Lepisosteus oculatus: one gene and its partner. The protein of the gene in region 2 interacts with the protein of the main gene of each other region in a pairwise test. Links are inferred from orthologs where the notes say so. Each region holds a gene or a part of one and is shown on either strand. Other genes may lie near its edges.

The links. The genes of interacting proteins can lie anywhere in the genome.
Region 1: the proteins of lmna (region 2) and iffo1b interact in binary tests that used the Homo sapiens proteins (3 or more experiments, as listed by UniProt). The link is inferred for Lepisosteus oculatus from reciprocal best matches to the Homo sapiens genes LMNA and IFFO1.

What each region holds. Positions count from the first base shown.
Region 1 is NC_090718.1:3,682,924-3,686,674, forward strand, and holds the start of iffo1b (non-homologous end joining factor IFFO1), read left to right. Parts: upstream 1-1,489; 5' UTR 1,490-1,778; coding exon 1,779-2,791; intron 2,792-3,751. UniProt on the Homo sapiens protein: Nuclear matrix protein involved in the immobilization of broken DNA ends and the suppression of chromosome translocation during DNA double-strand breaks (DSBs).
Region 2 is NC_090722.1:3,108,411-3,112,161, reverse strand, and holds the start of lmna (lamin), read right to left. Parts: upstream 2,729-3,751; 5' UTR 2,592-2,728; intron 1-2,591.

The sequences.
Region 1 (3,751 bases), on a different chromosome or scaffold from region 2:
CCAGGCGGGGTACACCCTGCTTGATGAGGACGCCAGTCCACAGACACAGACTCACACTGGGGTCAATTTTTACCAGAAGCCAATTAACCGACCACTATGTCTTTGGCCTCTGGGAGGAAACCCGAGCTCCCTGTGGAAACCTACAGGAAAATGGGGAGAACATGCAAACTCTACACAGACAGCACCCCAATTCTGGATTCGAACCCAGGGCTGCAAGTTAGCAACGCTGACCACTGTACCATCACTTTGCTTCACGTACACAACGCCTCCACTCGGCCAGGACTAAAGACCAAATAGATTCAGTTCTTTTCCCTAGTCGGTACAGAACATTTCTTTGACTGTATGAATGTTTCTAGTGACTTTTTTTTGGCTAGACTTTAAAAAAAAAATGTCTTAGGACCCCTCTTCTTATAGTGACAACAAACGCTTGGGATTCCAAAAAAAATTAATCTATAAACCAGAAGAGCCCAAAGACGAGTACTGTTCTCCCAGTACTGTCCTTAAAAGTTAATCTGTCTGTGCCCTGCTCTTCCCCAACCCAACTCGGACTCTCGGATACCCAGAGATTCTGAACAGAGAGGCTTTTAAAAACGGCACGGGCGTGAGATTCATCCCTGTCCTTCGGGGCGGCTCTCCGGAACTCTCCTGCAGTGAAGAGAGCCGCACGCCGGCTGGACACGAAGAGGTCATTTTCATTGACCCTGGCCAGCCCCTCATCTCGCACTAACCTAAAATGACTTCGGGATTGTTGCAGCCGCGCACAAGTGATTACAAAAAACAAACTACGCATTCATCAGTCGGCACAGTAAAACCTGGGCACTTGGTGTCCCAAACACGCACCCCTCAGAAAACCACGCACACGCACTGTACAATAATAAGACCGAGCGCCGCAGGCTGCATTCCAGTTGTGTTGACTCACTGACGTCAATGGCATGCTACCGTACTGATCAGATAACACGAGCGATGAAAAATAGGGCTGTTTCTTTGTCCCGGGACATCGTGGCAGCAATATAGGCAAAATGTTCCAAACGCAAAAACCCACAAGGATGCATCCGTTTTCAATAACGGATCAGTCCAGGGTTTCCCAATCTTGGTCTACGGGTTAGCTGAGCTCCTGACTGAAACGAAGCCTTCACTGAACCAGCAAACACGTCGCCTGGTTACAACCTTCGCAAGTTTTTTTTTATCCAGCTCGGAGGGCGGATATTTTAAGTTACTCATGAAATACAATAGTTAAAAGTCAACCTCCTACACGTTTCGGAACTGAGAACACCTACAGAGTTTAAATTGACCTTATTAGTAGGTGCATTCAGGGTGAAATTATTTGAATGACTGCTCATTTGGACCCTTTCTACAATGGTAGGGACGTGCAGACTCCACACAGAAGGACCTCCGGGTCTGGCATCAGAACTGGGGCTCGGGAGCTGTGTCGCGGAGGCGCTATTTAAAACAGCTCGACTTTTTCCAAGCAGCGCGGGGGGGGAGATGCTTGAAAGAGGTTGCTTATACTCGCAGACATACGATGGTGAAAAAGCCGCATTCAGCCATTTTTTTCAAAACAGACAGCAGTCTAGCGAATAACGTTTAGCTGGGCTTCGCATAGTTAGCAGCCAGCTTTAGCGCACTAGTCGTGTGGCTTGGTTACAAAATACGCTTTTATTCCAGCTGTTAGCGGACTTTGCTTGCAGTTTATTGTGTCTGATTTCATCTCGGCGTCTGCCTGCTCTTCTGAATATTCGGATTTAAAAGCATACATACTAAAAATAATTATAATTTTCATGCCCGATTTGGAGCGCTTCAAGCTGACCCATACAATGAATCCTTTATTAAGTGCCAACGTCTTTCTGCTACAGCAACAGCAACAACAGCTTCAGCAACAGCAGCAGGCGGCCCAGCAGGACTCCTCGGGTCTGCTGCCGGACCCGGCTCATGGCGCAGGCGAGCCGGGCTTTCTCTTAAGCGAGCACCAGGGCTTTGCGGCCGACTCCCTCCCGGGGCTCGATTTGAGCTCCCTGCCGCCCGGGCTCGCTTACTTCCACCTCAACAACCCCCTCTACCGGCCCCCGCCTCCTCCCCCGGCCATGGCCCTGCGGAACGACCTGGGCTCCAACATCAGCGTCCTGAAAACGCTCAACCTGCGTTTCCGCTGCTTTCTGGCTAAAGTGCACGAACTGGAGCGGCGGAATAAGATTTTGGAGAAGCAGCTGCAGCAGGCGCTGGAAGCCGGCGGCGGGGGAGGGGGCCTGGGAAACGGAGACGGGAGAAGACCGGAGACCAGGGAGCAAGGCGTCCAGACCGGCTTTGTCGGGCCCATCTCGTTCCGACCCGGCTTGCTCAACTTCCCCAACTCCAACAGCTCGGTCTACCGGGGCCCGAGCGTCTTTACCCCAAGTCTGACCACGGTGCTGACCCTGGAGCCCACGAACCTGAACCCGGACTCGAACTCGAACCCCGATCCGAACTCCAGGTCGACCTCTGCGGCCGACGGGGCCAACGCCAACACCACTACCACCACCACCACCAGCACCAGCACCGGCACCAGTACAGGGACTAGCTGCGGCGTCAACTCCACCACCAACCCGCCGCCCCGGTTCTTGCCCGGGACAATCTGGTCCTACAACCACACTCGCAAAGTTGGCCCGGGTCTGGAAACCCGGGTCACCGGCCCAGGCGTGTCCTGGGTCCACCCGGACGGAGTCGGGGTTCAAATCGATACTATAACACCCGAGATCCGTGCCCTGTACAACGTGCTGGCTAAAGTGAAGCGAGAGAGGGACGAGTACAAGCGAAGGTTGTTATTATTATTATTTTATTGTTGTTATTATTATTGTTATTGTTTTATTGTTACTGTTTAATTCTCCTCTAGGGGCGCCTTACGGCTCTAGCGACATAGTTGTTGTACTATCGTGGCCGTGCTATAACGTTCTCGGGTCGATTTTTGCTTAATAATTGACCGGGATCTAATGCGGGTGTGTGATGGTGTCTCTTTCTAGATGACTTCATCTCTACAGGGTAGCTGTGCATAGGACATCTGCCCATGGGTCCATATGGGGTCTCTCAACTTTTTGTGTAGTAACACACACAGTACATATGTCTTTCAGTAGATCCACAGTGTCCCTTGGCTTAATCAGGGTCACATATCAGCCTCCCGCTGCGCAGCGGTCTGCTCCGCTCCAGGTTTTACCAGCTGCAGGGGCTCTTGTAGGGATGCCAACAGCAGGCATTTCAACACAGGCCTGCCTGCTGCTTTGAGTGTGAGTCAGCTGCCACTGTTAAGCAGGCGAGGTGTGTGCCTCTGGGGTTTTTGGGAAGATGTGTTCTCGTTCTTGGGGAAAGATCTGCTCTTAAACGTGAGGGCGCTAGGGGCCCGGGGAGAGTTTCTGGTCCCGTTCCTGTCACTTCTTGCAGTCGTTACAGAGGAGCTTGGTCATTCCACTAGAAATCCGGGGTGCAAATGTACCTCTGTTGCTTCTAGAGGGAGAGAGTCCGGGCTGCTGCTTTACTGTCACAGGCTGGGCGTGAAACCGGCCAGCTGTTTCTGAGCAATTCCAAATGGGAAGATTGGGGATCCGGCAGACCGACAGGACGACCCCCAACTCTGTGCCCCAAGACTGCCAACAGCCATGTCACCCTGCAGCTCCCAGCTGGCAGCCCCACTGGAGCTCAGCAGTGTGAGTCTGGCCAGTACCTGGATGGGAGACTCCTGGGAGAGCTAAGGCTGCTGCTGGAAGAGGTGTTAGTGGGGCCAGTA
Region 2 (3,751 bases):
ACGTCCCTGCAGCGCGTTCGGCTGCTTACCCAGACTGGGAGGGAAGAGTGATTCTTTCTGGGGAAGAGAGGGGGGGGAAACACGATAACAGCAACGCACAAACATCCGGCCTCGCAAAGCAGGGACCCCACCTGTGACACCGGGGGTCTTAACCCAGCAAGCTTCGTGCTTCATTCACACCAACAGCTTAACAGCACAAGAAAGAACACCAGGACCAGAGAAGAGTTAGAGAGGGGGCTCATCTTACTCATTTGTTTGCTAGAAACTGATTGATAATGATCCATAAATCAATAACAATCAGTGGACTTCCTTCGACCTGTTTCTTGAAGGAACTGTCTGAACTGGGCTGTACAACATGACCAGGCAGTTTGCTCCACACCCCTACAACTCTAGGTGTAAGGAAGCGCCTCCCGTCCCAGAGCTCAACACAATGTCTTCTAAGCTTCTGCTTGGACCCTGGTTTCTCTATTGGCCTCGAAGTCGTCCTCTGGATTGGCATCTGAGCTAAAGAAAAGTGTTCATCTTTAAAAATGTCTTAATCGTACTTTTATGCTGAATAGTACCGTTTAAATCCTCCCCATTGCCCTTTTTAGCTCTTGATGTTCAAACGGTTCCCAAGAACGTCCTGGACTACGACCCACAAAGACTGCAGGTGGGGACCCCATTTCAAATGAGGTCTGAGCCTTCAACAAAGCAGTGTGGTGCAGTAGGGCTTGGGTTCAAGTCCCTGCCTACTTGAGCAGAACACATCCTCTCAGATTGTTCCAATAAGACATCCAGCTGCACCAACTGGTACAGCTGTAACAATTTAAGAAAAATGTCATATGAACCAATAAGGAGACACTCTAAACTCAGTTATTTAATGACCTTTCTTAAGTTATTTATGAAGTATTTGGACTCTTCCCTTCTTTTGTACGCAGATCAGAAAACCACCTTCTCCATCACAAAACTGCCCACTCAGAGCCCTGAAGCAGAGGAGCATGCCCTGTTTGTGTAGCCAGCTCCCGTTGGTCTTTCTCCTGGGAATGTTGTTTCTCTGCACGCTGACATTGATGCACACGAATTCATTTCAAAAGAGACGGTATTCGGATACTGTTGGAATACCGCTAAGCTGCCTCTGTAGTGCAGCACAGTTTCAAACGGCCGATTTTTGCAGTCAGTTGATTTGCCTGGAGGGGGGGCGGGGAGAGCAGTTGGAGCAAAAAGATTTTAAAAAATAAAAGTACAAGTTTCAAGTTGCATTTGGTGCGGAGCCCAGTTCTCGGGGTTTCATTGTGTCAAATATATTTTTATAGACCTGGGAACACGGCCACAGACAGAGCGCGACGCGGCTCCGTACCGCCATCTAGTGGTGATCGCCAACACGTTACTACTGGGTAGTACAGCTGTAGGATCCAACACCGGTTCTCAAGCATCGTAATTGCAATTCAAACATATACGACTTCTTTTACTGCACTTCAGACCCATCTCTGTGCTGTTTCCCCTCCCTGTGCCCCTTATGTCACAGTACAGCCATGTTTTCTTCACTGCATCCACTGAGGCCAGAAGCAGTCCACCTCATCACAAGGGGCTGACTGCCCGAGTCGTCAGGACAGTGTCCTGGGAGGGCCGATGTTGGAGATCCGGGAAGAAACCCCTAACAGCTGTTGAGGTGGCTCTGTGGCTGGAAGGTTGCCGGTTCAAATCCGGCAGCCAGCAGAGGAATCCTACTCCTTTGGGCCCCTGAGCAAGGCCCTTCACCCCAACTGCTCCAGGGGCGCCGTATAAATGGCTGACCCTGCGCTCTGACCCCCAGCTTCTCTCCCCGTCTGTGTGTCTCAAGGAGAGCAAGCTGGAGTATGTGAAAAGACAAATTCCTAATGCAAGAAATTGTAAAGGGCTAATAAAGTTATGTTATGATTTGAGCCAAGAGGCGCCTCGATGACCCGCCTTTAACGTGCTCACAAACACAATCTCCGCACACGGTTCTTCACCGGCCAGTGTGAAGAACTCACACTCACGGCCCAAGTTTCATTCCCGACACGTGGATTACTAGTTTCTTACGGAAACGAAAGAGAAAACTTTCACAAACGATTTTTCCGTTTCAAGCCGCAGGAACGACAACTACTGTAACCTGAAAGCTGGGCACCTCATTCTGGGGCAGAATTATTTGTCGGAGCACAGCTGGGCTCCTGCAGATAGCGGCAAACTTTAAACCCGCAGCCACCCTCGTCCGAACACCCCCAGGACGGACGAGCTAGCCGACGCCATGAGCCACTTTTACTCAAAGAAACACCTGCCTCTTTCTCATTTCTCCTACACAGCCCGACGCACATTTAAATAGTGTCGAATTTGCCTCCTGTTTTGTTTTGGGTCATGCGCAGGTGTTAATTTCCTTATTGTGGGTAATTGATACCATTGCTTTCTGAGCGCACAGAGCATCTGGCTTCAGTCAATACAAGCTTTTCAGAAGGGCTACTTCCAGATCCCGCATTGCAAAGGGGCGAGGGGGAAATCTCTCTCAAAGAGAGTCGAGCACGCAAAGGGAGACAAGTTCATGACGAACAGGCGATAACAAGCGACAGACAGAGAAAATACGGGCGACGTTTTACCTGAGAACCGGGCCGGCATCAATCCGCCGATTTCCTGGACTCGGTGACTTCTTGTCTGTTTGTTTCTTCATTTAAATCCCGATTAATCTTCGGGGAGACTTCAAGAAAACCGCCGCTGACCACTCGCGCGGGATGACGGGTACGCTACCCAAAGCGCACTGGCGACCGCTAACCTCGTTTTAAAACGATTTCGTTATCAAAGATAGCGTCTCATTTGTGTGCGTCCCTACTATCAATCTCGGAAATGTAAATGAAAGACAATAAAGATCCCTATCTACCGTCGGTGTTATACAAATAACCAGGGAACTGATGTGGCTTTTTGCTGCTCTGAAATTATTTTGCTTTGTGCACACTGCCCCCTTGTGGACCAATGTTCGATCACTTGCCGTCTGTGTTGTATGTGAAAGCGTTCTCAATAGTCAATTAAATGTGGTAGTCCTTAAAATGAGGACTTACTCTATATTGAGTGGTGTACCAACAAATATGAAATCAAAGTCTGTCAATTAATGTCACGTATCTGAATTGCACCAGCAAACATTAATTCAATGTCTATTAATTAGATATTAATGTCACATATGATCAAAAGGGCCACATGTCAGTGCTGGGTTGAGATCCTAAAAGCTACTACATTAAAATATAAAACATAAATTGACCTATATCATATATGCTCAGTAAAATATCAGTGCAAAAAAAGACACTTCTGTCTTTTTCCCTTGCATTTTCAAAGTTAATCCAACGGCTTGTTATAAGAAGCCCTAAGACTCAGATTTTAAGAAATACTTTAGGGGAAATTAATTAGACCCCCTTCTGCACAGCTAAACTCAAACTGCCCTTTTTTGTGTGTTTCTTACCAATCCAATTGTCTGATCCATGTATACACATTGTTCCACAACCTGAATTGATGCACACTTAAGTCAAATTTAAAATTACAATGACATCCGGCTGTTTTCGAATCACTTCTTCCAGTTGAGGGTCTTGGGAGCAGCCAGAGCCTGTCCAGATGAGCAGCAGGCACAGGGACGCCAGTCCATCACAGGACACACACACCCTGGACAGGACACCAGTCCATCACAGGACACACACACACCCAGAACAGGACACTAGTCCATCGCAGGACACACACACACACACACACACACACACACACACACACACACACA